Linked DNA regions of Mus musculus. The protein of the gene in region 3 purifies or fractionates together with the protein of the main gene of each other region. This does not show direct contact. Links are inferred from orthologs where the notes say so. Each region holds a gene or a part of one and is shown on either strand. Other genes may lie near its edges.

Region 1 (8,653 bases), on a different chromosome or scaffold from region 3:
TTCTGCAGGCATCAGACATTCATGCATGTGGTACAAAGACATACTGGAAGGCAAAACCCTCATACAGAAAATAAAAGCAGTTCTTAATTTAAGGAAGTGAAAAGAGGACCTGAGAGACAGCTCTGGTGAAGACAAACACCTGTGTCAGGAATGACCACTGGAGTTCACTCTCCAGGACCTACTTGGTGGAAAGTTTTCCATCGATTGTCCTTTGACCTCCACACACGTGCCACAGCACACAACACACACATGCACAGCCAGGCATAGTGACCCACACCTTTGATTCCAGCACTCAGGATATAAAGGCAGGTGGAACTCTGTGAGCTGAGCTCAAGGCCAGCCTGGTCTACAGACTGAGTTCCAGGACAGTCAGAGCTACAGAGTGAGACCATGTCAAATAAAAATTTAAACAACAACAACAAAAACAAAAAACAAAACAAAAAAAAAAACACAGAAAAACGCACACACATCATACAAATGAAATTTAAAATGAGCATCCTTAGAGAACATCCACAGTAGTAAAAAAATCACTTCAAGTAACAGTGATTTATCAACTCATAGTATCCCCAAACTGTGTAACACAAAAGAACAATGCTTTACAAAAATCTAATGCACAGTATCCCTTTATTTTGGGACAGTATCATTTAACCTCAAATTCACTACACACAGATGCAGTTAACCTTAAATCCTAGATTCTTGTCCTTTTAAGCACTGGGATTACAGTATGTACCACCCACCTTGTAAAGAGCATCCCTTGCAAACAAAGGCAGGGGTAGACGTGACTGTGAGCACATTTAATCCCAGCACTTGGGAGGCACAGAAAGAGGGCCTCCTGAGTTCCAGGCCAATATTCAGAGACCCTGTCTGTGAGTGAGTGAGTGAGTGAGTGAGTGAGTGAGTATGTGTTCCCCATCCTTCCCTAACTAGTACAGTATGTTTTAGTAATGAGATTTTTGGTGTTTTAAAACAGCTCTCAAGCCAATGACTCAGAACAGACGAATTTCTGGTATTTCAGTATTCAGAGTGACAACCCAAGTGGTGGGGAGCAGGGATCTCAACAACACGCCACACCCCATAGAACCAATTCTTTTCTTTTCTAGCTTAGAACTCAGACATCTGCCTGCATCTGCTTCCTGAGTGCAGAGACTGAAGGTATGTGTCATCCCACCTGGCTAATTTGTCGTTTTCAGATAGGATTTCATAACTCAGGCTAACCTGGAACTTGAGATCCTCTTGCCTTGTCTTCTAAGTGTAGTTTAAAGTAGTGTGCCACCATTCTAGACCCCACTGAGCTAATCTGAGCACGATGAAGTTTAGGAAAGACAAAAGCAGAACCACCACACGAGTCAAATATTACATATGTTGACCACTCCGATCCCAGAAAATAGGGGGAAAAACCTCCAATTTTGAACAGGCCAAACTCAGCTGCTTGGGAGGCTGTCACTGGAGGGTGGTAATTTCAAGGCCAGTTCAAGGCTATCCTAGGTAAATTAGTGAGACCTTGTCTCAAAATACAGATGGATCTAGTTCCATGGTAGATCACTTGCCTAGGATGTACAAGGCCCTCAGTTCAATTCCTAGCTATGCCCCACTTCCTTAACTTTTCTATACTCATGTGTTTTAAATGTATGAAAACTTATTTGTTTGACTATGGTAACCTGATTAATATGGCTACAAATATACAAAACCCTATTTTCTTAAGACTACTGACTTGTTAAATTACTAAACTAAACTGGGCATATTGCCACACTCCCCAGCACTCATGAGGCAGGAGGAAGGTTTCTGAGTTTGAGGCCAGGCTGGTCTACAGTGAATTCTGGTTGAGCCAGGGGCTCTTCAGAGACAACCTGTCTCAATGAATGAATGAATGAGCAGGAGAAAGAGAGAGGGAATACTAACAATTAAAATGAACAGTCGTAGCCTCAAGCTTTAAGTTTTCCTATATAAACTCCTAAACAGTTCTTTAAACTGTCCTAAAGCTGTTCTTTAAAACGGCTTCTCACCTCCTTTTCTAAGACCATTAAATAATCTATATAAATTGTTTTCTATTACCTATGGGGAAAGTAAAAGATAATTCAGGCACCAGGCTCCACCCAGCATGCAAAATACAAGAGAAACCTATGACAGCAGCAAGAAGCAGGCAATTAGGGGCTGGTGAGATGGCTCAGTGGGTAAGAGCACCCGACTGCTCTTCCGAAGGTCCAGAGTTCAAATCCCAGCAACCACATGGTGGCTCACAACCATCCATAACGAGATCTGACTCCCTCTTCTGGAGTGTCTGAAGACAGCTACAATGTACTTCCATATAATAAATAAATATTTAAAAATAAATAAATAAATAAATAAAAAGAAAAAAACTGTTGACACACTTTAAAAAAAAAAAGAGCAGGCAATTAAAAGCCAACATTTACATAGTATCTAAAACTCAGGGTTGCGATGCATTCTTTCACTACCCTTGGCATTTTATTTACTAAGTGGTTACTACTATAATCAGTGACTATAATCAATTTTTGTTACACTAATAAAAATGAATTACCAGTCAGTAGGAGTGATCACTTTCTGTGACTGCCTTCTTCCTCTCCCTTTCTACTGATTTCCTTTCTTAGGCCAAATCACAGGAGTGCTTCCAGTTTCCTTCCCTCATTAAGTACAGTCACCACATGGCTTTTCTAGAACACTGTACTCAATAGCCAACAAGGCCAAGCTTTGCTCAAAAATTCTCATCATTCAAACCCCAAGTATGATTTAAAAATTGTCATTTATTTGGAAGCTACAATCATGTTTGCAAATCCCTTTTTAAAATGACTTTTAGAAGCAAATCAGAAAGCTTCCCCTCATACCTCGTTTGGGGGGGAGGGAGGGTTATTATATTTACATAAAGCCTAAGTCACCAGTCTTCAAATTAATTTCATGCTTCCTCCCAAGGACACAGATTAAGGGGGGGACCTCTTCTGGGATCGAGAGGGGAAACCTCCAGTACTCTCCCGGGACAGACAAGCTCACCTGGAGCTGCACTCCTATTTCCCCATCCCACCTCCTCCAGCTCCCAACAGGAGCCCAACTCACTACAAACTGAAATCTGCAAGACAAAATGTAGTTCAGCGTCTTTCCTAAATTGGAGGTTTTGAGGTCTGCTGTTCTACTTTCCAAATGCTGGGCCTGTGACTTTGGCAAAGACTAAGGACTGGTGGTTCAAAAGCTTCCACAGGAGAAACTGCCATTCAAGGAAAAGGGTCTGACCTAACATTTGAAAAAGCAAATGTTTTAACTAACATGGAAAAAACATGAGGAACACTTAATTCCAATCTTGTCTCATTGGACCCTACCACTTCCCAAACATTGAACTCACAGGACCTAGCCTTAGTATTCATGCCTTTAATCTCAGCACACAGGGAGGCGGAGACGGATCTCTGAGTTCAGGACCAGTATGGTCTACATAGTGTTTCAGAACAGCCAGAACTACACCTGCAATTAATTAAATCACAGGAACCATGTGTGTGACTTTTCATTTTTAAATACTAGTTTAATGGCCTATTGCCTAACTCAAATATCTAGTTACACTTCACAAACACAGTAGATATGTCAATGAAATTCTCAGAAAAAAAAAAAAAAAAAAAAAAAAAAACTAGACTGCAATTAGCAGGAGCTAAGTTGAGAATCTAGCATGTACTAGGGTCTAGTCTCCATCACCTGCAGGTGGGGTGTGTGTGTGTCAAATTAACAGAAGAGTAACTATTGAAATTTGTGTGTGTGTGTGTACACACACACACACACATATACATATATATAAAACCATTCTCTTAAAATGGATAAAACAGAGCTGTGGTGTAGCACAGTATTTGAGCACTTGTCTTGCTTGCATGCAATCCTGGGTTTGAGCCCCAATCATGTAACAATGAAATCATAAAACAGAAAAACTACAATCTTCTACATTCCTAATTCAAACTCCCCAAGCCTCAACTGAGTGCTCAAAATAGGTAAAGCTCCCCAAGCCAAGGAAGAGCATGCATTCCACCCGAACTTGGGTTGTCAACCCAAAGTGCTACTAAACATTATTTGAATTAACCATTTCTCAGCAGGTCTTTCCATACTTCATAATGACGAGTGTGAATAGTACAGTCGTCAATTTTACAAACGGGTAAACTGAGGCACTGACTCTGCAAAGGGAAATTCGTACTAAGGAATCCTGGCAAGCCTGGTCTCCTGTATTCTAGCCATCAGAACTCCGTGCCTATGAAGGATGGGGACAGAAGGGGGAAAAAAAAAACCCGCAGCAACTTTAGGATATCCTGGGTAAGAACAAACGGGGTAGGAGTGAGGTTCTGCACCTCCCCGGAAGAAGGCGAGGCTAAAAAGCCCCCCAAACTCTCAACTCCAAGGTGTGTCGGCCCAAAGGAAGAAATCCAATCGCAGCATCTCAGCTCGCCTCCACCCAAGGAGGGAGGCTCTGCAGTGATTTCCAAACACTCCACCCTCACCAGAAGACTCCTCTCCACCGCCGGCCCCGAGAAGCCGTCCGTTCCAGAGGCTTCTCCTTTGTGAGGCTCCACGGCCGCCGCCCCACACTGGGCCTCAGGGGAAAAGCCACCGCCCCCACCCGCCATATTTCCCCGAAAGGCGCCTAGCGCTACAGCTCCTCGATGCCGCCCTCTCCCGAGCGACCGGTACCGTTCCTCACATCGCCCCACCCAAGTGTCCTCCTCCACACCCCGCCGCGGTTCCCGAGGGCTCCCGTGGGGATCGCACGCCGGGAGCCGGCACCCGCCATCTCCTCCCCCCTCCCCCGCCCGGGGACTCGCCCTCCCCCTCCAGCCGCCATTTTACAACCAACTCCTCCACCCTCCGCCCCGGCCTGCTGGCGGGCGAGCGCCTGCAAGCTAAGGACACCGGAGGGGTCAAATCCCTAGGCCCGGGGACTCCCACCGCGCCGGGAGCCCGCAGGCCTCGGCCTGCTTCCCGACCCACGTCCCAAGCCGGGCTCCGAGACGGCTCCGCCATTTTGTCTCCGGTTCCCGGCCTCTGTGGGCGGCGGCGGAGGGTCCGAGACTTCCAGCCCCCCGACACCCCCCCGACTCACCGTCGTATCGCTCGGCCTGCTCTGCCAGCTTCGCCTGGTACACCAGATCCTCCCGATCATCCATTGCGGCAGCGGCTCCGGCAGGGTCTGCGCGACGGATGGAAGCGGATAGCGTCTCCGACTCTCTCAGCTTCTCGCTCCGCGTCCGAGCAGGAAAAATGGCGGCGCCTCAATCCGGGACTTCCGCCTGCGCACGCGGACAACTGCTCAGCTCTATGGCAACCGCTCCCTGGCAACTGGCGCGGGGGGGGGGGGGGGCGGATCCCGGAGTTCGGCGCCAGAAAAGGCTGGAACCAGCGCGACAGACGCCCCTCCTCCGTCGGCACAGCGGGCGGCCCTGTGGCGAGGCGGGAACTGCGACTGCGACGGAGAACGGCCCCTGGAGCGGCTGGAGGCGAGGTCGGCCTAGACTGCGGGAGGGGAGTTAGCCAGAAGCCCGTGCGGGGCGACCGCGGGCTGGCCTGTGGGGGACAGAGCGACAGGCTTGATGGGTTCTTGCTACGGCAGGCCTTCCTCGTTGAAGATCAACCGGCCCTGTGCATTCTAGCACATTTTTCTCATCCAATTTAAAGAATTGACAAGGACAAGAAGGGAAAGCTCGAGTTTTCACGCATCATCATCTCCCTTGCTTCCATACTTTAAGCATTTTCTTCTCCCCTCCAGCCATATTTTATCTCTTTGGCCTATCGTAGATAGGACTTTTGTTTAAAATCTCTGGTTTTGCTTCAAGCATAGGTGAGTGTGTTTAATTCCAACACTAGTGAGGTAGAGGCGCAAGGATCGAGTTTGGATCAAGTCCCATCTACAAAGCAAATTCCAGGTCAGCCAGGGCTACATTGTGAAACCCCCATCTCAAAAAAAAAAAAAAGGAAAGAAAGAAAAAAGAAAAAGTGGTCAATCTCAGCTAGTTAAGGGAAACCCTCACTCGAGGGAAAAAGGAGACATAGTGGCTTGCCTCACTTGGAGTGCAAGGTGCACCTGAGGTGTGTAAGGGCAAATTGACATTGATGAGTTAGAAATAAATAATCCTCCATGGGGATTGCTTCACTTGCAATGGCCACGCCTAGTCTGCTTCCTTATGGATTTTCAACATCTTATACTCAATATCAGCTTGCTGCTGAGCCATGCAGAAAAAGGGCCTCAAAATGAGTGTGAAATCAAAAGGTTGGGATCAAGGCCTGAGGTCACACGCCCAGAGGTTTGCATCTTAGTCTGTGAACGGACAGGAATTGTTTTGTCCAAACGCTGGAGACTGACCCCCACAGCTTCCACCGTGTGTTTTGCCACTGAGTTATAGTCCTATCTGGGCAAGCTGTTTTGATGATTCTGAGTGGAAGGTGACATCGTCATAATTGTACTTAAGAAAAGTATTCCGTACTTACTGAAGCGGTGGTTCACGCCTGTAATTCCAGCACTGTGGAAGCAGAGACAAGGATTGCCACAAGTTCCAGGCCATCCTGGACTAAAAATACCCTACCTCGAAACACAAACACAAAAAGAAAGGAGCTGGTGGTGAGAGTTTTGGTTTCTTCAAAAACCCAGCTATGGTCTGTGAATGTGTTTGCGTTTTAATCCCAGGCGTGGGATAAGAGGCGGCTTCGAAGCAGGTGACTAGGATTTACCTTGTGCACTAGCAGGGCTGTGGTCTTGCCAGCTGCGGATAGTTTATGTTTGGATTTCTGGAGACTCTGGAGAGGAGATAAATAAATGCCAGAGCCCAGAGGGGAACAGGGGCACTCCAAAGAAGAAGGCTGCTGCTCCTGGTTGCTTTTGTTGCAGTTTGTCAAATGGCCATAAGCAAAGAGACAAGAAGTTAGAGATACCCTGACGACAAAGATTAGACTTGCCCCAAGGACCCCGATGCCCCCAGTGAGCAGGAAGTAGCCTTTAGAGGTCTATATTCCCTTTCCCCTTCTTTCTCTCCTACCTAGTGTTGGGGGGGGGGGGGTTGGAAGGGGAGGTAGAGATATAAAAACCCAGTAAAATAGACAAAAAATATGCCAACAGGAGAAAGAAAACATTGCATAGCAGTAATGAACAAGAATGGTAAATTATCATATTACAAAATATAAGCAAAAGTAATCGATACTAGCCTCTGGACAGAGAGGAAAGGACAGACAAGAATAGCATCACGGAGAGGCCACAGGACTTTGTAGCTGACCAGCCATGTGAAATAAAACTTGACTTCCCACCTTCCCACCCTGTCAAAGGAATGAGCAACAGTACCAGTAACATAAAAGAAATACAGAGCTGAATATGGTAACTCACACTTATAATCCCAGCACTGAGAGGCTGAGGCAGGAGGATTGCCATAAGCTTGAGGCCAGCCTTGGTTACATAGTTCCAGTTCCAGGCCAGCCCCAGAAAAAGGATAAGACTATGTCTTTAAAGCAAACAGGAAGGCCAGGGATAGTGGCACACTTGGGAGGAAAAGCAGTTGGACCTCTTGAGTTTCAGGCCCAGCCACAGAGCAAGTTTCAGGACACCCAGTGCTACAGTGTGAGACCCTGCCTCAAAAAATACACACAAAAACCATGACAATAATAAAAAAAACAAACAGGAGTCCAGGAAGAGTTGCTGGCTAAGATAGAGAGAAAAACATGAACTCTTCTTTAGCACGTGCTGGTTCTGAGATTCCCCAAGCATTAGGCAGGTAGAATAGCAAACATGGAGTTGAAAGGGGGCTGATAAGCCTGGCATGGTGGTATACCTGTAATCCCAGCACTGAAGACAATGGGACTGGAAGATTGGGAGTTCAAGGCCACTCTCAGCTACACATCAAGTACAAGCCCTCCTGCCTTCCTAGTGCAGTGAATTAAGGTGTGTCCCACCACCTACTTTGTTCTTTGAGACTGACTCTCTTTCTGGGACGTGGAACTCTCAGTAGCCTAGGATGGCTGCCCAAATAAACCCCAGAGTTCTACTTGTCTCCACTCTCTGCTGCAAAGTTCACATGTGAGTTCTGCAGGCTGAACTTGCACTATCTACCCAGCCTCTCTAATAAACATTTTGTTAACACACATTACACAGAATGGCATTTTGGCATTTTTGTGCAGGGACACAGTGTTTAGGTCCTGTCACCCCCTTGCCTTCTCATCCCTCACACTGGCTGATCTCTTCCTGCTCACAACTGGTCTGTCTTACTTTCCTGTCCTTGTGTAGTGAGAATTTTGGTTTCTTTAAAAAGCCAGTTGTTCTGTAGCGATGTTTTTGCTTTAATCCTAGGTGTGGGATTAGAAACTGCTTCACAGCAGGTTACTAGGATTTGCCCAGGATTGCTCTAGCAGGGATGGGGTTTTGCCAACTGCAGTTAGTTTCTTTGAATGTGTGACATTTGGAATTCTGGGAACTTTTCAGAGGGTATAAACTACAGGGTCCCACATCTGAGGGTTGACTCCGGGGAGGGTCCTGTTCCTGGTCCTCCTGGTGCAGTTTATTAAGTGGTCCTAAGCAAAGAGTCAAGAAAACTAAATTGGATATCTTGTCCCAAGGAGCTCAATGCCCCTAATCAGTAGGAAGTAGTCCAAAGATGTCTCCACCCTCTTTCCCCTCCAACCTTTCTCTCCTACCTAGTGT
Region 2 (7,172 bases), on a different chromosome or scaffold from region 3:
CTAGAACCTGTTTGGTGAACAGTGGACACAAATTGCCAATTTTCCCTCAGATAAGCTATCAGATCTATTCATCTGAATCCTATAATTATTTTCCATTTGTCTAAAAGAATAGGAGTCATGTTAGCAGAATTCAGCTTCTTGGCAAATACAAGTTTGATATGAGTCAATATAGTATTTTATATAGTAAAAGATATCTGAGAGCCATCAGGAAAGAGGACTAGGCTATAGTTTCCAAAGTCAAGGAGAGAACACAAACTCAGCATACCTCCGCTCATTTTACCTTTTAAATACAGATAGTGATGTCCCTACTCCTACTGCCATTCTCACAAAATCCTGGGCTTACTAAATCTCAAGGCAGCATGACATCAATGCTAACACTCCCCCATCCCACACACACCCCAATTCCAGCCCTTAGAGATGCTAGGGTAAGACTTCTATGTCCATGAATTGAGATCAGCCTGGGCCATATAGCAAGACCTGGCATTTCCACTCCTGGTCTCAAAAGGCTCACCCACAGGTTTTTCCTAGAAATTGACACTTGCTTTATAAACACGATATGTAACAATAATCCTAGAGCTTTAGTAAAGACTTGGGTTTGTCCTGACACAAGCAGGGTTACAAAGCTGGGTAAATGTGTTATAACAGTAACTGGCAAGTGAAATACTCCAGCTAACATTGGACTATCATCTTCCTTCTTTCCTAAACCAACAAAATGGGGTGGGGGGAAGGCTTAAATTTCTTCAGAAAGCCAGATATTTTATACTTTTTGATCTATTTTCATATATATATTTGGGGGGGGGGGGTGTTTTGTTTTCCTAGACTAGTCTCTTTGTGTAACCTTGCTGTCCTGGAACTAGTTCTATAGACTAGGCTGTCCATGAACTCAAGAGAACCCCACTGTCTCTGCCTCCTGATTAAAGGCATGTGTCACCACCATCTGGCTATTTTAAAATTTTTATTAGTGTGTGTGTGAGTGGGTGGGGGTGTGTTTTTGTGTCATGCATGCAAGTAGCAGAGCACCCACAGGAGTTAGTTTTCTCCTTCCATTCTGTAGGTTCCCAAGATCAAACTCAGTTTCATCAGTCTTGGGGGCAAGTGCTTTCATCTACTCAGCCATCTCATAGGCCCTATTTATTTTTGCTTTTCACAACAAGGTTTCTCTGTGTAGCTGTGGCTATCCTAGAACTCCCTTTGTAGACCAGGTTGGCCTCAAACTTGAAAGATATGCCTGCCCCTGACTTCTGAGTTCTGGAAGGCATGTGCCACCACTACTTTGCTGCATTTTTAATATTTTAACAAAGGTTTCAAATTCAAATGTAAAGACCATCTTACAAAGATGGCAGAACCAGACTAGAACAAGATGACAGGTATGTTATTTTATCTATGTATTGAAAATAAATGGGAACAAAAAATGGTGGTGTGCATCTCAAATTCCCAATGCTCTCAAAGATGAGGCAAGAGGACCCTACCCCGAGTCAATGCCAGCCTAGACATACATAGTTAAACCTAATCTGAGAATAAAGAAAGTGGGGATTAAAAGGCAACATTTAAGGCTTTGCTAGGGAAGAGCCAAGTTGCTGTGTAAAGTGATAATCTAGGCCAGCATGCTTCACAGCAACTGTAACGAGAATGTAAAGTAACGGGATTATCATTAGCTAGCAAAAACACAAAATAAATGGGAGCCTCAGTAGGAAAAGGCAGTGTCTAGCAATGGGGCTCAGAGGGAGAGCACTTAATGTGTGCAAAGCTCTTAGTGTTCAATGTCCAGCATTACAAAATAAAGGGGAAAATCTACCATAAAGGAAGCTAAAAATAGTGGCTGAGCAGTTACGTCTTAAGAACTAATCACTGGCCAGGCAGTTTGAGGCCAGCCTGGTCTACAGAGTAACCCTGCCTCAAAAAACCAAATCACCGGGTATGGTGGCGCACGCCTTTACTTCCAGCACTCGGGAGGCAGAGGCAGGCGGATTTCTGAGTTCGAGGCCAGCCTGGTCCAGAGTGAGTTCCAGGACAGCCAGGGCTACACAGAGAAACCCTGTCTCAAACCCCCACCCTCCACCCCCTCAAAAAAACAAAAAACAACAAAAAAAACCCACTTGAATTTTTTTTTCTTTTGCTTTTGAAGACAGGGTTTCTCTTTGTAGCCTGGGCTTTCTAGAATTTCCTTTGTAAACCAGGCTGACCTTACAAGTGCTGGGATTAAAAAAGATGTGGGTACTATCTACAACCATTCAGCAAGATTCTCTACAATTAAAAAATAACCAAATGGGCTGGCTAGATGGCTCAGAGGGTAAGAGATCATGAGTGCAAATCCCAGCAACCACATAGTTGCTCACAACCATCTGTAATGAGACCTGATGCCTTCTTCTGGTGTGTCTGAAGATAGCTACAGTGTTCTTATGTATAATAAACAAATCTTTAAAAAAAAAAAACCTTAATTCATTAAGAAACACATTTACATCCACAAAAGCAACTGTTTACTACCTATTGTACTACTTTTTATTGAAAAGCATCTTGCACTTAGGATGGCTGTTTTCTGAGTTTTACCATACACTTTAATGTTAAAAGGTTAAATTAATTTTTACATGCAAGTAGTGTTTCTCCACCTGGGAACAATGATGATAAAAAGATGACATACCACATGAAGTAAGTGTCTTTTTTAATTGAAAAGCTAACAAATTGTTGAGTTACAGTTCCCACTCCAAAACCACAAACTGGGTAGTAAACTAAATCTCTAGGCAACATATTCAAAGCTGAGAAGATTAAAAAAAAAAAAAAGAAAAAAAAAAAGAAAAAACAAGGCCTCAGATCCAATTAAGAGAGCCCAGCTGCACTCAAGCTTACCAGCAGCATAGAGGTTGGAAGACACCCACATGGTTAACTTCAAGCTGCCCTATTCCAGTTTCCGATTCATGAACAAGTATCATGTTTTGTTAATTCTATTTCAGCATACTTTTCTTAAGTTGTTTTATTTACAATGTCAACTTTGAAAGGCTCACTGAAGTTAACTGGACAATGAACTAGAGGCAGAAATCACTTTACAGAAAGGGAAAGCCCAAAATGCCACTTTCCGCAGAGAACCCATAGTTCGGTTTTATTCAGAGTAATGGGGGGAAAAGGAAACTTCTGCTCACAGAAGAAACTCAGCCACAGGTCTGATCTGGACTGGAACTACACATGCAGTGAAGACAAGGCGATGTTTGTCTACTGATCTCTAATATTAACAATTATAAACAGAGCAGTGCAACTAGCATTTGGAACAACCCTTCTAGTGTTACAGTGACAGGCACAGCAGTTCACTTCTCTTCACACCATTGGTTCTCTTTGCGTACCTAGAAGAGACAGAAGGTATACCTTGAGTTGTCTTTCCTGAGATGGCTAAGCACTACCTATACTGTATCATCAATAGCCTATGTCATATGAGAAAGGAAAATGGAAAGCTGGGAAAATATTAGGCTAAGTAAAAGCAGACCTGATGACTAACTTTCTAACATTGAACAGCAGATGTCAACTGAAAGCTCTAGTCCCACTTTCTAAGCTGGCAAGCACACCCAACTCATCCACTCTTCTATTATCAGGCCCTGATTTCTAAAGCCAACAGTTTACAACCTATACAAATATCACAGGTTTAAAAAAAAAAAGAATCTGATAATGAAGAACCTCTTTAGTTCAAAATCCATTTTTCTTATGTTTCTAAAAGAACAGTAGCAAGCTGAACATAACTCAGGTTAAAACTGTTATCCTGGAGGACATAATTCCTATCCCACCCCCACCCACAGCTCACAACCACCTGTAGCTCCAACTTCAAGAAATCTGATGCTCTCTTCTGGGCACCATGATCATACTCATGAATTAAAATTAAAGTCTTCAAGAACTCTCTCACCTAACTGCTTAGATCCAGAGACAGATGCACATTATGCCTTTGTATCAAGACTTTTGTTGTTATTAGTTCTTTTGTTCTCTAAGACAGGTTTCTCTATGTAGCCCTGGAACTCACAATCTACCTCAGCTTCCCAAGTACTGGGAGATAAAGGGCATTTGCCACCACGCCCCACTGGTATCAAGGAAATTTTAAAGGTGTTCTCGGGTAAGCAGCACAAGACCAAGACTTTCTGATGGGCTTTTTTTCTTGTCTTGGTATTGGGTTCCAGTTTCTTTTTAAAAAGCAATTGAAGATGGGTTGTGTGCTACCTACCTGGGCCTCTTCCTCTTCAGTAAAGTCATTTTTGATATTGAAGGTTTTACGAATCTCCTCAGGAGTTTTCCCCTTAATCATATTGGCCACAGTCTTGCATGTGACATCAAGCAAACCTTTGATGTCTAAGTAGTTTGCAGCCTGTAATTAATAGCAGGTTTTTTAGTCATATGTACTGAATATTTAAGGTTAACAATTTACATCAAATTGAGCTTAAAATGATACCCCGTTTAATGAACTCTTATGAAATTCTCTGCCCTGTAATACTGATTATTTTCAATGTAGTTTCACCTTTCACTAGCTTTCTTCTTTGGTTTTTGGGTTTTTTGTTGTTGTTTCAAGACAGGGTTTCTCTGTGTAGCCCTGGCCGTCCTCGAACTCAGAAATCCACCTGCGTCTGCCTCCCCAGTGCTGGGATTAAAGGCAGGTGTGCGGCACCACTGCCCGGCACTAGCTTTCTTCTTATACACTGCTTTAGCTTTATCCTAAATTTTAAGTTGTTTTATTTAAATTCAATTAGAAATACTAATGTAAAATTTTCCTTTGGCTTAAAAATAAATTACTGAATTTTCAAATATTCACAATTTTTCCCCAGGTTTTACTTTATTTTGAGACAAGGCCTCACTGCGCGTAGCCCTGAGTATCTTAAAACATGCTATGTAGATCAGGCTGGTCTCAAACTCAGAGCTCTGCCCCTATATTCTATATTAAAGGTATGCACCACTGCACCCAGCTTCAAACATTTTTCATGCTTCTACCACTGAAGTCAGAGAACATACTTTGTATAACTTGAATACTTTTACATCTGGGACTTGTATGGCCCAGAACTTAGTCTATCCTGACAAGAATTTATATGGCCATAATTAAATATAACATCCTACATATAAATTAAGACAAGCTGTTCAGCAGTGTTGCTGACCTGGTTTTCTGTCCACTTGTTATAATTACTGAGAAGCAACACTGGAGTTTCTATGCCTGCACAACTGTGTGCTTCATTCCTCTTCTCTTTTTGAAGTTCTGCTTCTAGGTAGATGTCTATGACAATTGTTCTTCACGAATCAATCCCCTTTATCATTATGAAAATAACCCTCTTAACTTCAAAATACAACCAGCTTTCTTCTGATTTGCATTAGCATACTCTTTTCCATTTTCACACAGGCAGCAAAAAATAGTTTTGCTTTATCTGACCTGCTATTTCTACCCCTCAAAGGTGTTTGGATCATTACATTTAATTTAACTACTAAAATATATTACATCGCGTGAGTACAGAGAATATCCACAGTTGAAGATCAATGCACCTAGCCAATTCAATCCTTTAATAGGTAAAGGCTCTGCAACAGAACTACTTTATACATTAACATACCAGAATAAGTTCAAAAAGTGTTCCTTGGTCAACTTTCAGGAATTCTTGGTCCCAAACAGGAATATCATCTGTCCGCTTTTCTTTGTTTTCATCATCCTCAGGAGGAGGAGGGTCATCTTTGTGGTGGGTGCACCACTGAATGACCTACAACAACAAATACTTCTGGCATTCTATGACAAGACTTTCAGTTCAATGCTGGGGGCATCACTACACTGTGATGAGAACTCGCTAAGGAAGTCTAACAAAAAGTTAAGAGTCAATTTTTAAAAATATTTTAATTATCGTGTGTTCTCTCTCTCTCTCTGCCCCCACTCCCTCCCTCTCTCCCTTCTCTCCTCATCCCGTCCCACCCCTCGCTGGTAAGATAGCTCAGTCAGTAAGAGCACTTGTTGAACAAGCATAAGGATCCCATTTTGAATCCTTAGTATCTATATAAAAATATTGAGACAGCATGCACTTGCAACTCCTAGTGTTGGTGGTATTGGGGTGCTTGCTGGTTAACAGTCTAGCTCTAGATTCAGGAAATAGAGAAGGAATGTATCAGGACACCTAATGTCTTCCTCAGGCTTCAGGTACACAACCAAAACACATGTACACATACCAAATTACTCATTTATACAAACAAACAACAGAATGACTATAATCTAAGTTCATTAAGAAGTCTAGACAGGTATGGTGACACATGCTTCCAATTCAGGCACCCACAAGGCAACAGTAGAATTTCTTCCAAGTTCAAAGCCAGCCTGAGCTATCAAACAAGACCCTTATTTTAAAAAAACAAACCAAGCCAGGAGGTGGTGCCTCACATCTTTAATATCACTACTCAGAGGCAAGTCAATCTCTGATCTCAAGGCCAGCCTGGTCTTCAGAGTGAGTTCCAGAACAGCCAGGGCTATACAGAGAAACCTTGTCTCGAAAACAAAAATGAATAAACAAAAACAAACCAAAGAAATAAAACAAACTCCACCCCCCCCCCCAAAGATCTTACCTAGGTTGGAGCTTAGTTTACTAACAGATCATATGTTAAGCATGTTTCAGACCCTAAATTCAATTCCCCAGTACCAAAATAAGAAAAACAAAAACAAAATCATCGCTTACCTTCTTTAGAATTGCTGCATTAACATTTGGTAAAGGAACAGGATCATCATCTCCTTCATCATCCATTCCCAAATCTAAGAAAACCAGGAGAGAAAAGTCATTGTTTCTCAACTCCATAACAACATACGACTTCTATTGCTGTGATAAAATACCAAAAGCAACTGGAGAGAAAATAATCATGTTCACCTTATATATACTTCAGGTAACAGCCTGCCAAGACAGGAACTGAACCAGGGCAGGAATCTGAAGGCAAGAACTAAAACAGAAGTCACTGCTAGCTGCCTTGCTCTTCTGCCTGGTCAGCCAGCTTTCTTATACCACTCTGGACTACCTGCCTACAGATGAGAGGACCCACGATGGGTTAGGCCTTCCCACAATCATTCATCAAGAAAATGCCCATAGACCAATCTAATGGAGACATTTTCTCAACTGAGGTTCCTTTTTTACATATGACCCTAGTTTGTGTCAAGCTGACCTAAAACTAGCTAGTATGGATGGGCATGGGGGCACATTCTT
Region 3 (7,990 bases):
CCCCTCATTCTGCTCCTCTCACCCAAGTAGAAGTCTTCCTTCTTGTGCCTTTAAACAGCCGAGGCCTTCTACTTCCCCGGTAGCTACTAGAACCCCGTGTCTCTCTGCACTCTGCCTGAGCGGCACGAAAGCCACAGTTTTCAGTGTCCTACTGTGTGCCGCCTCACATCTCATTCACCCCACTCGTCTCCTGTCCTCTATCTGGGAGCTTCCACTCATTGACCTCATTTTGAAGGACTTGTGAACATTTTGTACAATTCTAAGTTTTTAAAATATGCTTGTCTGCCTCCTGTCTACTCTGAAATGTCCCTCCAGGAAGCTAGACTTTTGGTTTGCTATGTTGTTAGTGTTAAATAACAATAAGAATTTGAGAGTGGATGCAAGCCCCCACTATCTCCATTCATGTGTGAATATTCAGTCCTACTCAAATGGGTGGGTTGTTTTCTTTTTTGTTGTTGTTGTTTGGGTGACAGGATCTCACTATGTCACTGTAATGAGATCCTGTAGTAGTCTAGACTGACCTTGAATCTGAGTGCTGAAATTAAAGGCATGCGCCATCATACCTGCCCTTGAACCCAGGACTTCACAAATACTAGAGAAGTGCTCTATCTGATATGAGCCACACTCCTAGCCTAACAGTACGTTAGTGTGCTTCTTATAGGATCGCATGCAGCTCAGGCTGGCTTTACACTTCTGATCCTCTGCCTTAGCTTCCCCAGGGCTGGAACCAGACATGCACCACCATGCCAGATGCTGTTTTAGAGTATCGCCAGCACATCAACATCTGCAGAGGAAGCTCTCCAGACTTTTCTGCCCTTTGCTTAAGGAACAACTGCTTGGACGTTATGAGACTAGTCGGTAGAACGCAATACAGTGGGGGAAACTGGGAGAGCCGAAGTAAAAATCAATATAAAGGACCAACAAGAGTGAGTCATTTGGAAAGAGGCTGAACCCATGGTGATACTACAAAGTTACAACTGGTATCACCGTAAGACTGAACTGGAGAAGCCTGAAAATCATTTGCAATCAAAACGTAAAGGTTAAGTTCATCAACTACATTCAAGAAATATGTCTGGGCTGGGTGGTAGTGTCACAGGCCTCTATACCCAGCACCCAGGAGGCAATGAAGATGGATCTTTGGGTTGGAGGCTAGCATCATCTACATGTCCTGAGTTCCAGAACATTTAGGACTCAACAGAGAAACACTACCTTGAACCCCTTCTCCACCAAGAAAGGAGGAAAAATGTTTGGGAGAGCAAGATGGGTAAAAGCTGCTCAGAAATCCACACAGCAGAGCACTCCCCCAAGCTGACTTCTGAACTCCATATACACACTATGGTAGGGCACTTTGCGCGTGCACAAAATAAAAAAAAGTATAAAATAAATACTAATCGTAAAAATGTCTATTTGGCCGGGTGCCTAAATCCCTGAGGCCAGCCAGCCTATTCTACAGACTGAGTTCCAGAATAGCCAGGGTTACACAGTGAAACCCTTTTTTGAAGGGGAAAAAAAAAGGCTGTTTGAAAGACAAATCAGTGGACAGAAGTCCAACTAAGGGAAACTATGTTATAATAGGAATTATAGTTTCCACAAAAGCCATGTATACACATAATGTGTAGACTGGAGCAGCACTGGAGCGCCTTGTGACTTTGTGAAAGGTGCCTGTGTTAGGGTTGTGACGTGTGCCCTGCTCTCCACTGTCAGGAAGCCTCCGCCCCAAAGCCTTATTCTCTGTGGTACTCACATTCGAGGGCCTCTTTCAGAGGAAAACTCACAGTGGAACACGACAATGACACGCTTGCCATCAGTAGGCACAATAGGGTTCTTAAGTAAGAAGTCTTCAACCTCTTCTTCCATGTGCAGATTCACGGCACCCTGTGGAGACAGCAGACACTGAGCACCTGCTAAGCCACACCCAGGAGTCTGTAGGTCCCACGGCCCAGCAGCGCAGTAGACCACCTGCCTGTTATGTCAGTGAGGCTTTCTCTGTAGGCCATTTCTAAATGTCACTTCATAAAGTCAGAAGCTAATCCCCACTCACATTTAAATCCTGCTTTTTATGGTAATACTAAACAGGCATGACCAGCTCCTTCCTTCTAGAAATCTGGTGTTCCAACATGTCCCTTCCCAAGGTAGGCAGCCTGACTCAACAGCAGAGCCTTGGTACAGATACCAGGGCCATGCTGCCAAACTGGCTTCTTTTACTCAGGAGCTCTGGGGTGCTCAAACATTCATATTTAAATATCCCAAATGCTGTGGAACTCTTTGTGGCCCCACTGAATAGCTTAGACATCAGGGATGCCACCTAGAAATGCCCTGAAACAGGACAGTATGAGGGAGTGAAGTGGAACTGGTGGGAATATTCATTCAGTTTGTGTATATTGGCCGTCAGCCAAGAGATGTCACTATCCCACCTTCTAAGACTCCCAAGATAATAAGTCTCAAGAATCCAAACCTTGATGTGACCTCCTTCATACTCATATGGGTATCGGCAGTCAATGATAACAAACTCTTTAATGAGACCGGCAAACTTGCCATTCAAAACAGATGCCATCTATGAAGAGAGAGGGAAGAGGGTGTCATTTGCTGGCTGTCAGGTAACGAGATTCCAACTCCCCAAATGCAGTGGGTTCCAAAAGCCTGACTTACAATTTCTGGAGAAATATATTTCAAATCCTGATGCTTCCCAGAGACTGTATTAAAGAGATAACCCTTTAGAAAATGAAAAAAAGGAAACAGAAAATATTTAGAGGAACGTGAAAGCTTGCAAATATTAAGGTTTATTCTGCTGCCTGTGTGGTAGGAAGCAGCTTGAAAAACAAACCGAGAAACAAACATAAGTCAATACTATATGCTAATTACCTTTCTATGCACTTAATCAACATCTAGATATTTAATTATTATTGTTTAAGGAGATATGTTTTCATTATGTAGAGCAGTCCAGCTCCAGACTCCGAGGTGAGCCTGCTCCTGGGGTAAGTTAGTAAATGATTATGCTCACCCTCTGGGTCTGGTCTTACCACCTAAGGAGTCCCGAGTCTAGATCTGAACACAGAAACCACAGGTCATTTCCTTTCTCCACTGGCTTTTCTTTTGTTACTGTTTTGTTTTGTTTTGTTTTTCAAGACAGGGTTTCTCTATGTATCCTCAGACACAGAGACCTGCCTGCCGTTGGAATGCTGAGATTAAAGGTGTGCAGTAGCTGCAGCACCGCCCGGCACCTTCCCCCACCCCCCTCCTGTTTTTTTATCAGGAATTCTCATCTTAGTATGAGAAATCACTTAAATGCAGAGAGGACAGTCAGGCCGTTGTGGTACAAGTTTAGTCCTAGCATTAGGGGTTGGGAGGAGGCAGAGGCAGGCGATCTCTGAGTTCAAAGCCAGTAGGGACTACAACGAGTTCCAGGACAGTCAGGACTGCATAGAGGAACTGTGTCTGGAACAGCAAACACACACGCAGTGAGGAGATCAGGTGTGACTCAGGAATATAATAACAGCATTTGGGAGGAGGATATAAGTTCAAGAGCATCCCTAGTTTGGAGTTTGGAGCCAACTTAGAATATGAGGTGGTTCTGTAACAAATAAAACCACAAAGACAGTGGGTGTGGTACTGTAGGCTGAGGCAGTAGAACTAGGTTAATTTGGGTAAAATAGTGAGGCCACGCCTTGGAAAGCGAGACAACTTGCTCATGTGATGGGCACCTGGTTGCTCAGGATGGAGTTAGGTAGTGAGAATGGAAGAACATCTTGGCCCAAGCCTAACAAGGACGAACACCTCAGTGCTACTCAGTGCTGTTTATCCCCCTCAAAAACTCCTTGTTCTTCCTTGTTTTGTTCTTTTTAGACAGGGTCTCTCTCTATATAGCCCTGGTCCTTGAAGTTACTGTATAGACCAGGCTGGCTTCAGTCTGTCTAGCTCTGCCTTACAAATGCTAAGATTAAAGATGTGGGCCATCATGGCTAGCTGTACTGTACCATAGCTCAGGCTCATGCTTTCCCAGACACACTGGTCAGAGTGAAGGTAACCGTACAGGGAACCACCGAGCCAGCAAGTCTCATGACCACCACGTGCCTCATCCTGACAAGTTCAGCTGAGCTGATTGTTCTTTAGCTTTTACTTTTAAAACTGCTGCCTTGGCGGCACCCAGGGGCTGCCTTGAGGAAGGAAGGAGCAAGGTAAGTGGGGTTCTAGCACCCCTTGCCAACACCACCGGACTAGAGTGACTCTGCTTGCAGTTACCTTGGAGAAATCTCCTATAAGGTCTCTTGGGTCACTGTCCAAAATGTTCTCAATGGTTCCTTTGGGGGAAGACATCAGGGATAGAGACTGGGATGGAAGCTGTAAGAAATCCAAGGTAGAGAATGAGACCAGGGTTTTGATTAAAAGCTCTACAATTATTTACCTTTACCATGCCAAGAAAAGGAAACTGAAATATGAATGCCTATAGTAAGTAAAAGATTCTGTACTGTGACTTAAGCAGAGGAAGGATAGCTCCATGCTATCTAGTAACTAGTTGAATTTCCCTGAAACCCACGAATCTCTGGTTGGCCTGGAACTTGATAATGTAGATCAGGATAGTCTCAAACTCAAAGAGTGCACAGAGATCACCGGCATGCCGACACACCAACCAGCACCTGTCCTCTTTTACTGTTCGCAATGAGAACTGTTGAGGTGATACCAAGACAGGCGTGAGATACAATCCCAGAGGCAGGAGGACTGCCACAATGTTGAGCCTAGCCAGGGCTATATGGCAAGAATCTGCCTTAAAAATAAAAATTAAAAAACCAAAAACCAAATCAAAACCTGAACCTGACACTGTAACAGAAGATCATTGTCATGTATCTCACAAAATAACACATAATTACTTTATCTCAGTAGAGTTCCTGAACTTCTGATAAGGAAGGTTTTTGTAAGAAAACAAGATTTGAGTTGTAAAGATCATTTGGATGGCTTCTAACTAAACAGCCTTCTGTTGTGATTCTGCTCTACAGCTACACAAGGAACCACTGTGTAAGCACGCCTGAGAACTGTAATCTAGAGGCAACAGGCGTAAGATTAGAACTTTGAACTATTTCTTTTTCTCTTCCAAGGACAGCAGTAAACCTTTCAAGGCACGATGACGTCAGTGAGGTGCTCAGAGGGTAAGAGTACTTGAATGTGCCTGACAGTCCTGGGATCCCATGGTGGAGAGAGAACCAAGGCTGCACAGTTGTCCTCTGACCCCACACATGCCATAGCACACACAGGACTTGCACCACAACAGTATTTAAAAGAAGGGCAGAGGGGAGTGGGCACATTAAGATTCTTTCTCAAGCCCAGTCTGTCAGGTTAGAGAGACCCAGACAGCACTCTTTGATGCCCCCTTCCTTAAATAGGAAATTAGAGAGGCAGATAGATCTATTCTTTGTTTAGCAATATCAAGAAGCTGGAGCCATTCTATTTTATAGATAGGTTCTTGTGCACCATGGCACAGGCACAGGCACACACACACACACACACAACAAAATTTCAAACCAAAACAAAAACCTGGGTATGGCTTGTGATTCTAGCACAAGGGAGGTAGAGACAGAGGAAAAGTTCTCTGACCTCTAAATGTGCACTGTGGTATTTATATCCCTACCTCTTGATAAATGAATGGCATAGGAAAGTAAGAAAGAGCAGAGATGGAGCAATAGGCACAATGCCCTGGGTTCAATCCTCAGCACCAAGCAAACTTGTCCCCCCAAACACAAACCCCACACCCTAAAAAACAAACAAAACCCCACATAATGCGGGCTGAAGAGATGGCTCAAGAACTCTTTGTTGTCTCCAGTACTACATGGTGGATTACACTGTTAGTACTTGCAGTTCTAGGGGATCCATGCCTTCCCACCCTGTGGGCACCAGAATTGCACGTTGTACAGACACATATGCAGACAACAATCCTACACACAGTAACAGAAGAACCAACTCCCCCAAGTCCATATACCATCCGATCACTAGAAAGCTATGGTGGTTTCAATGGATGTACCCACAGTTGGAGCATTAATATGGGGTCCCAATTGATGGCACTGCTTAGGGGACTAGGAGAAGTGGTGGCGTAGCCAGAGGAAGTTGCCACTGGGCTTCTTTTCTTTTTCTCTTCTTTGTGCTTTGAGACAGAGTTTCTCTGTGTAGCTCTGGCTGCCCTGGAACTCTGCTGTAGACCAGGCTGGGCTCAAACTCAGAGATTTACTTTCCTCTGCTCCACCATGTCCAGCCTTGGACACCTAATCCTAATGCCACCCCCAGGTCACTCTGCTTTTTCTGCTCCCATGCCTTTCTGCCATGCTTTCCCTCAGTGATGGTAATACCCTTAAGCCCCACACCCCTTTCTGTAACTTGCCTTAGCTGTGGCGTGTTACCACAGCAATCAGAATGAAGCTAATACAAACACCTGAAATGAATAGCACATTACCAACCACTACTCAGAAACAGAAGGAATGCAGCTCACACCCTGCTACTGAGCACGCCATTCTGGAAAATGATCTGGCAGCACCTGCAAGACTGAATGAACCATACACCTGGTCCATGGCACAGCAATTCTACCCCTATGAGATTATCTAGGGGATAAAGAGGAGTACTGGACTCTATAGACCAGTAGGAACCTCTAGACATGACAAGTGACTCAAGTTCCTTAACAAGACAGACAGAATGCAGGATGGTGGTGCACACCTGTAATCCAAGCACCAGGAGGATCACAAGTTCCAGGCCAGCCCGAAACAAGACTCTGCCTCAAAAGCCAAAGCAAAATAAAAACCTAGCAACAGATGACACAATCTTCTAAGTAAAAACAAACAGAAGCAAATAAAAGTAGCAAGGCTTGCTGGGCAGTGGTGGTGCACTCCTTTAATCCCAGCGTGTGGGAAGCAGAGGCAGTTGGATCTGAGTTCAAGGCCAACCTGGGCAGCCACAGATATACAGAGAAACCCTGTTCAGAAAAAAACAAAACAAAAGAAAAGAGCAGTAAGGCTTAGTAAGGACAGGACAAGCAAGTTGAGACGTTTAGAGCCACGACTGTTGTTAGGACTCTGGATCAAGGGAGAAGGTAACTAACCTGGGCGGGCTCCGGAACATCCGCCTTCGCCTTCACAGGGCTGGGCACACTCTTCCTCCTCTTTGTACCCCGAGGAGGCTCCTCGTGAGACCGGTCTGCTCTCTTCAACACCGCCCGAGTGCTGGAGCCGCACGGGGAAGGGGAGTCAAACAGCCCGCAACGATCGGCCTTAGGGTCAGAGACAGGTCCAACCTTGGATTAAAATCCAACCACTTGAATGGCAGTTAGTCTAAAACCCAGCCCCAAGGTCAACATAGTTAAGGAGTACTTTGTTTAGTGGCTCAGCTCCTCAGAACTCCACATGCCGAGTAACTTACAAGGTTTGCAGGTCTCCTCATGACAAGGGGAGCTGTCCAGAGGCTTGCCATGCATGATGGGGTCTCCTCATCATTCTAGAGCAAGAGAAAACTGCTTTTAAATACATCTAGCAGAGGGGCTAGGAAGAAGAAAAAGACCCAGCAACCAAATGTTTTGCAGGTAACTCTCCTAAGAAATGCCAGATAAGCCTAGATAAGAAGTTTTGTGTTTTGTTTTGGAGACAGAGTCTTACTGTGTTTGGCTAGCATCCTGAATGTTAAAATTTCTGGCATGGAACACCAGAGCAGGCCTGTTTCTTCTTGGTACAAGGGATTGATTGAGCCTAAGGCCTTGTACACTCCCCTAAGCACATGCTATATCTTAGTTCCAGAAGTATCTCAAAACCTTTCTCCTTCCCTATCGTTAGTGTCCCTCAGGGTAAGGAGAAAGATCTTACCAGTATTATCTGACCTATCACCCTGCTGGATTTAGTCAAACAGACAGAAGACTCAATGAACTCTCACAAAATGAACTGTTTTTTAGGAGGCTTCTGCAGGCTGGTTAGAATGAACAGACACGCCCACACCCACAGACTGTACCTTCATATTCTCGCCATCC
Region 4 (7,114 bases), on a different chromosome or scaffold from region 3:
CAGCCCTTGGCAAAAGCAGCAGATGTTCCTTTACAGCTATAACTATCACTCCAGCCTAGTGTTAATCATTTCCCAAGAAGAAATTGGGGGAAAGAGTCTGAAATGCTTTCCCTTTATTAGTGAAATGAGTTACATTTATTGAGCATGCTGTACTGAATTGCGGATACAGATACTGGCTTTCCTTCCCTTAATGTAGCCTGTTTCACGGAGCCTCTCTTTTTTAAGGTTGATAATCCCTCTCCAAGCCCGATGGAAACATCTGGATGTGCGCCTGCAGAAGAGTATCTGTGTCAGGCTTTCTCTGATGTAATCCTTGCAGTGAGTGACGTAGACGCAGATGATGGGGCTGACCCAAACCTCTGTAGTGAATATGTGAAAGATATCTATGCTTATCTCCGACAACTGGAGGTCAGTATTGTCATTGCAGTCTGCCTTCTCTCACTGCAGCTTCCTGGATCAATATTCCTGGTCCTGGACTTAAAGGTGGTGCAATATACACTTGGTTTATTTTTTTGTGTTTTTCATATATATATACATAGATCAGTTAGCCTGGAACTCACAGAATGCTGGGATTAAAGTGATGTGACACCAACTCAACTATCAAAGATTTTTATCAACAGCACACGACATTTTTTTTAAACAACAAATAGCACTCTATTTGTTAGAATCAGAAACACTATTGTTTTGAAACACTAAAAAATAAAGTCATTAACCCCATGAAGTGGACTTGCCACTTTGAATATAAAATTTCTATATAGGGAGATAACCTTCCTAAAATAGGCATGTCACAAATGTGAAAGTCTTATCCTTGTGGGTCTAAGATGGGGATAGATGGCTAAAGGACGGTGGCTGTCCCACACCAGGCATTCTTTGTCAGTGTGCATGTACTTGTCAGAACGATGGAAGTTGGTTTCATCACCTTCGCCTACTTGGAAAGCTTTCTATTAATGGAACTTGCCCTTTTCTCTTTCTAAACAAGGCATTCTATAGCTAAATGTAGATTTATCAGGTTTAAACCCTCCCTGTCCCCCCAGTACTAGGGACAGAATACAGGACCTTGTGCATGCTAAGCAAGCACTTTACCACCGAACTATATCCTAGCTTTGTCTTCTCAGGTTGTCATTGGTTTTTTTGCTGTTGGGTTTTTATCTCTTTTGTAATAGTGTTTTCAAGCCTTGTGTGGGTGGGCACATGAGGGGTTCAAAGGACAGCTTTGAAGAGTTGGTTCCCTTGAAGAATGGCAGCAGCACATGCCTTTAATCCCTGCACTGAGGAGGCTAAGGGAGGCAGACCTCTGAGCTAGAGGCCAGCCAGGTCTACAAAGTGAGTTCCAGGACAGCCAGAGTTACACAAAGAAACACTGTCTTGAAAAGCAAAAAACAAGAGTAGGTTCTCCTTCTGCCTTTCTTTATGTCAGTCCTGGGGTCAGCAGGCCTTAGCCCATGAAGCCGTGTTGCTCATACCCCATTCTTTGTTAACATCTGTATTTTTCTTTTAAAGATTTACTTATTTTATGTTTATGAGTACACAGTAGCTGTCTTCTGACACACCAGAAGGTGCGTCAGATCTCATTATGGATGGTTGTGAGCCACCATGTGGTTGCTGGGATTTGAACTCAGGACCTCTGGAAGAGCAGCCATCTCTCCAGCCCACATCTGTATTTTCTAAAGTAGTCTTCAGTAAGATAATCTGGTTCGAAACTAGCTGTCTTCGTTTTTATTCTTGTTAATACTGCTAAAGCTTTGTGTTCTAACGCTCAGAACTTGGTTTGGTGTTACACTGTGTGGGTGTTTTGAGTTTATAACATGGAGCAGCAGATCTACAATTTATTTTTTCTGCATCACAAAACTTAGTTGTGAGTGAAAAGATCTGAGGTGATGATGGGTACAGGGCGTGAGCTGCAATAGTTCTGGCTAACCAGATGGTCGCTCTGTCAACAGTCTGAAGAGCCTACTATGACTTTGCAAACCTTGCTTTCTTGGTGAACTTCTGCCCTGAGCTGTTTGTTTGATGTTTGTTAACTGGTCTTTATGGACACCGATGGTAGATGTTGTGATGTTTCTAAAATAACTGACATTTTCTTTTGTAGGAAGAGCAGTCAGTTAGACCAAAATACCTACAGGGTCGTGAAGTGACTGGAAACATGAGAGCTATCCTCATTGACTGGCTAATACAGGTTCAGATGAAATTTAGGCTGCTTCAGGAGACCATGTACATGACTGTGTCCATTATTGATCGGTTCATGCAGGTATGTGTCATTCAGTAATTGAGAGTTATCCAGTTGTAGCTCTATGAGAATCTTGGAGGAGGGGAGGTGGATACTTAAGGTTGAACCTCGGGTCCCATACATGGTAGGCAGGTACCTTAACTGCTGAGCTATTATTATACCTAGCCTGAAACTGAATCCTTTCTTGGGAGGTAAGGTGTCATCAATTGAGATGTTTCAGTGCATTCTGTTGATTGAACTTGCCATTGCAGAACAGTTGTGTGCCCAAGAAGATGCTACAGCTGGTCGGTGTAACGGCCATGTTTATTGCAAGCAAATATGAGGAGATGTACCCTCCAGAAATAGGTGACTTCGCCTTTGTGACTAACAACACGTACACTAAGCACCAGATCAGACAGATGGAGATGAAGATTCTCAGAGTTCTGAACTTCAGCCTGGGTCGCCCTCTGCCTCTGCACTTCCTCCGTAGAGCATCTAAAGTCGGAGAGGTACAGATTCCTCGAGAAATGTTTGTTTTGCCACATGAGAAAAAACACAGCTGCTAACTTAAAATGTCAAATACATTAGACATTATACATTATTTAAAAATAAGGCTGCTGACCTAACTACATATTACGTGGTTACTTTTAAGACCTTCTGGGGACAGTTGTCTTTGAGAGTTTGTAGTCCCGGCAGGGCAGGGCTTTTTAAGTTAGTGCTGAAGGCTTAGAGTGGTGTGGTCTGTTCCAGGTTGACGTCGAGCAGCACACTTTGGCCAAATACCTCATGGAGCTCTCCATGCTGGACTACGACATGGTGCATTTTGCTCCTTCTCAAATTGCAGCTGGGGCTTTCTGCTTAGCGCTGAAAATTCTTGACAACGGTGAATGGGTAAGCTGTCTCACCAAACTACCAAGCATTGGAACGGACCACTTGGTGTTGAGATCACTCTCCTGGGTCCTAATATGGAAGGAGTGTGACCATAAATGGTAACCCAAATGCTGCGCTGCCATCTCAGTGCTGTAGCTAACTTCAGTCTTTAGGATAACACCCTTTGGAGAGAGGAAGCCACACCAAGTGATCTAAGAAACCTGTCCACATCCTTGGAGGTGCATTTCTCTTGTACGGACAGGGTGCTACCCTGACCTTGGGATAGAGAAGCCACAGTTACAATATTGTGCTTAGAGCTCAAGCTCTTCCAGAAGTATATGTGGGCAAAAAGATCTTGTTTCATGTGTAATCACACTGTTCACCCACCAGACTCTTAAATAGCATCTAGAAAGTTTATAAAAGGAGGGCTGGTGAGATGGCTCAGTGGGTAAGAGCACACTGACTGACTGCTCTTCCGAAGGTCCCGAGTTCAAATCCCAGCAACCACGTGGTGGCTCACAGCCATCCATACTGAGAACTGGCGCCCTCTTCTGGTGTGTCTAAAGACAGCTACAGTGTACTTATACATAATAATAAATAAATCTTTTTTTTTTTAAAGTTTATAAAAGCCGCCGGTGTTTTAAGCATGTTTTTGTTCTCTTAGACACCAACTCTGCAGCACTACCTATCCTACAGTGAAGACTCCCTGCTTCCTGTTATGCAGCACCTGGCTAAGAATGTAGTCATGGTGAACTGTGGCCTCACAAAGCACATGGTGAGTCCATTGAAAATTTAAGGCTGGTTTATGGCCTATAGTCCCACCATGCAAGGCAGGAAGAGGCAAGTTTTGAGTTTAGAGCCAGCCAGGACTCTATAGAAAGGTTGTTTAATTTCATTTTTTAAGTTAAAATATAATTACATTGTTTCTACTTCTCTTCCCCACCCCCCCCCCAACACACCCCCAATGGCAATGTTTTTCTTCTTCCTGATTGCAGTGCTTTTCTCTTACAGACTGTCAAGAACAAGTATGCAGCATCTAAGCATGCTAAGATCAGCACGCTGGCACAGCTGAACTGTACACTAGTTCAGAATTTGTCTAAGGCCGTGACAAAGGCATAACTCCAATAGACTGCTACATCTGCAGATGCAGTTGGCACCATGTGCCGCCTGTACATAGGATACCTACCGTGTTTACTTGCTCTTCAATAAAGGTTGTGACTTCTCATTTTACATAGCTTAACTCATTTGAATGTTGTTGCTTCTGAGTTTAGGCTAACGGAAGTTGTCGAATTTAGGAGTATATTAAAAACTGCATCTAGTTTTAACAGTGGATCCAACTAATGTATATATCTGTAGCCTATATGTCTATATACATCCTTCACTGTGTGTCCTTATATCATCATGTCTTCTGCCTCACTCTAGTTTAAACTCTAAATCTACCAGCTAGTCCTTTGTTCCATTTTCCAGTGGTTGCCACCTTTAACCACTGTCTCTTGGTTTGTCAACTTTCAGATCTGAAACCAAGTATCTTTTTTTATGTAATTATTTATTTGTTCTTAATTGGAAAATAGGATGTTCAAAATTAAAGGTGTGTTTTAAAAAGAATTTGCCCCCAAGTCTCACTATCAACAGATAAGGGTGTATTCTTGTATATCCTGTATAGATATAATCATGCATATACTCCCAAGGAGATATTTTTATATGGGTTCATTTTATCAACAGTATTCCTATCAGCATTCCTTTCAATGCCTATATTGCATTTCCTAGTGTGAACAAACTGTGTGTAACATAGTCATTCCCTCGGTGGGATTCAAGTGCATTCTCTCAGTGCCCTCCACAGTGTTCTTAAATGATGTTTAATGTCTTGCTTGGCTTCATTCATAGTAGCTCTTCCAGGGGTGTGCTTTGAATTCTGACAGCCAGATGGGTGTGGCTGCCACCATACCAAGGCGCCACTCCTGTCTTGTAATGCCACCTGGAAAAGAATCCTGTCTCATTTGCTGTTTTAATTTATACATCTGATATCAAGTTGAATAAAATTTATTGGTGGAAAGCTTTCACAATTCTCATTTGCCCTTTTGACTGTTTATGTTGTCTTTGCAATATGGAGACTTTATGTTGCTAATAAACATAGTTTTCGATTTTCAGCCAAGGTCGGCCAACTCCCAAGTGTGCACACCTTGTAATCCAGCCCAGGTTTTTAAGTGTACATATCTGATCTAAATGGTGTTATTCCCCTGTAATAATAGGACTTTTTTTTTCTTTTCTTTTTTTCTCTCTCTTTTTTAATATATTTTTCAAAAAAGGATGTCCAATCCCCTGGAACTGGAGTTACAGTTATAAACTGACATTTGCCTACTGGGAATTGAACCCAGGTTTTCTGGAAGAACAGCCAGTGCTCTTAACCACTGGGCCAATTGTCCAGCCCATGATAGGAATTTTTAAAACTGAGTTCTAAGAGTTTCTGTGGCTACATACGGCTTAACGAGTGCATCTGCGTGTATCTTGTTACTTGGAAACTTTTTTTTTTTTTGGTTTTTCGAGACAGGGTTTCTCTGTAGCCCTGGCTGTCCTGGAGCTCACTCTGTAGACCAGGCTGGCCTCAAACTCAGAAGTCCACCTGCCTCTGCCTCCTGAGTGCTGGGATTAAAGGCGTGCGCCACCACGCCCAGCACTTAGAAACCTCTTGTTGGGCCTTCACTGTATAATCCTGAGGGTCCTTACCCTCGTGCTGGGGTTTTCACTTTAAAAATCAACTACTTTTTTGATTTTTGATAATTTCCCTTTATCTTTCTTCAACCCACCCTCACCTGGAATTCTGAAGTTCATGGCCTTTGGCTTTTATTGTTGTGCATATGTTCATAAACATATAACCTGCTCAGTAGTGGTCCTTGTATGTATATAACTTCAGCACTGCCCACTGTAGTTGTCCTGATTGGGCCCCATGACTTTCCCCTTCTGTGTTAGCATCACCCTTGCTGAAGGTTGATTTAGGCTTGTTTAGTGTTGAAACTTCATGGGTGTAGCTTCCCTGACATTGAGGAGACAGAATTTCAAGCAGTCTTTCTAGTCCCCTGGCGCCTAATATCTGTGCCTCCTCTCCAGTGTTCTTCAGTGCAGGCGTTGTTGATAACATGAGCTGGGCTGGGGCAGGGCTTGTTCTGCATTTGATTGTGGTTTTCTGTGGACATAAAGATAAACATTCCGAATTGGGTGCTTGTGTGAGCTGCCTCTCCAGGTGGCCTGGACCTCAATCCTTCTTCTCCCTCCTAAATGCTGGAATGTTTTACTCTTCCTGCCTCTGCTTTGCTTCTGTGATACGGAGATGGTGCTAGGGATTCTAATTCAGGCCTCTCACGTGATTTTGTAACAACTTGACATATACTTAACAGCTGGTGAGGTGGCTCAGCAGATAATGCTGACTGCTCTTCCTGAAAGTCCTGAGTTCGAATCTCAGCACCCACATGGTGGCTCACAACCACCTGTAATGAGGTCTGACACCTTCTGGTTCGACTGAAGATCTGGTTCAACTGAAGACAGCTACAGTGTACTTATTTATAATAGTAAATCTTTGGGGCTGGAGCAAGCAGGGACTGAGTGAGGGGTGGGGGCTGACTGGAGTGAGCAGAGGTCCTAAACTGATTTCCCAACAACCAGATGAAGGCTCACAACTATCTGTACAGCTACGGTGTACTCATATACATAAATAAATGAATCTTTAAAAAGACAAATGGCAGCTGTAGTACTTTGATAACAGGACTGTGTTAACAATAAGCATGGTATGATCAACTTGGACAAAAGCTATGAAGGACCACAGCCCTCCCCTTCAAAGAGCTGCTGTTTTGTTTGTTCTGCAAGGACTTATCCCTCAAGTGACCACGCAAGGCTCATGTACAGCATTTTCGCCTCTCAACGTCAAGGCTCAAGTGTCAAGTCAGCGACACTGGGGGCACCCAATTCTCAACGTGATTTCTAATCCCAACCCTCTGACAGGATCTTGACATGTTCTCTGTCTCATACTCACTGTGTATCCTAGGC

What was found.
Region 1: the proteins of Cdc25a (region 3) and Ywhae purify together in Homo sapiens (affinity purification with mass spectrometry; 4 studies listed by BioGRID and IntAct, with this or other methods). This does not show direct contact. The link is inferred for Mus musculus from reciprocal best matches to the Homo sapiens genes CDC25A and YWHAE.
Region 2: the proteins of Cdc25a (region 3) and Skp1 purify together in Homo sapiens (affinity purification with western blotting; 6 studies listed by BioGRID and IntAct, with this or other methods). This does not show direct contact. The link is inferred for Mus musculus from reciprocal best matches to the Homo sapiens genes CDC25A and SKP1.
Region 4: the proteins of Cdc25a (region 3) and Ccnb1 purify together in Homo sapiens (affinity purification with mass spectrometry; 3 studies listed by BioGRID, with this or other methods). This does not show direct contact. The link is inferred for Mus musculus from reciprocal best matches to the Homo sapiens genes CDC25A and CCNB1.

Annotation. Positions count from the first base shown.
Region 1 is NC_000077.6:75,729,516-75,738,168, reverse strand, and holds the start of Ywhae (14-3-3 protein epsilon), read right to left. Parts: upstream 5,283-8,653; 5' UTR 5,142-5,282; coding exon 5,078-5,141; intron 1-5,077. UniProt on the Homo sapiens protein: Adapter protein implicated in the regulation of a large spectrum of both general and specialized signaling pathways. Binds to a large number of partners, usually by recognition of a phosphoserine or phosphothreonine motif.
Region 2 is NC_000077.6:52,242,145-52,249,316, reverse strand, and holds the end of Skp1 (S-phase kinase-associated protein 1), read right to left. Parts: intron 6,731-7,172; coding exon 6,657-6,730; intron 5,703-6,656; coding exon 5,559-5,702; intron 4,337-5,558; coding exon 4,196-4,336; intron 3,333-4,195; coding exon 3,297-3,332; 3' UTR 2,459-3,296; downstream 1-2,458. UniProt on the Homo sapiens protein: Essential component of the SCF (SKP1-CUL1-F-box protein) ubiquitin ligase complex, which mediates the ubiquitination of proteins involved in cell cycle progression, signal transduction and transcription.
Region 3 is NC_000075.6:109,883,596-109,891,585, reverse strand, and holds part of Cdc25a (M-phase inducer phosphatase 1), read right to left. Parts: coding exon 7,972-7,990; intron 7,468-7,971; coding exon 7,393-7,467; intron 7,268-7,392; coding exon of another isoform or gene 7,244-7,267; coding exon 7,076-7,243; intron 4,339-7,075; coding exon 4,240-4,338; intron 2,713-4,239; coding exon 2,650-2,712; intron 2,555-2,649; coding exon 2,456-2,554; intron 1,944-2,455; exon of another isoform or gene 1,876-1,943; coding exon 1,745-1,875; intron 1-1,744. UniProt on the Homo sapiens protein: Tyrosine protein phosphatase which functions as a dosage-dependent inducer of mitotic progression. Directly dephosphorylates CDK1 and stimulates its kinase activity. Also dephosphorylates CDK2 in complex with cyclin-E, in vitro.
Region 4 is NC_000079.6:100,776,759-100,783,872, reverse strand, and holds the end of Ccnb1 (G2/mitotic-specific cyclin-B1), read left to right. Parts: intron 1-225; coding exon 226-408; intron 409-2,089; coding exon 2,090-2,248; intron 2,249-2,478; coding exon 2,479-2,715; intron 2,716-2,956; coding exon 2,957-3,097; intron 3,098-3,740; coding exon 3,741-3,851; intron 3,852-4,087; coding exon 4,088-4,195; 3' UTR 4,196-5,134; downstream 5,135-7,114. UniProt on the Homo sapiens protein: Essential for the control of the cell cycle at the G2/M (mitosis) transition.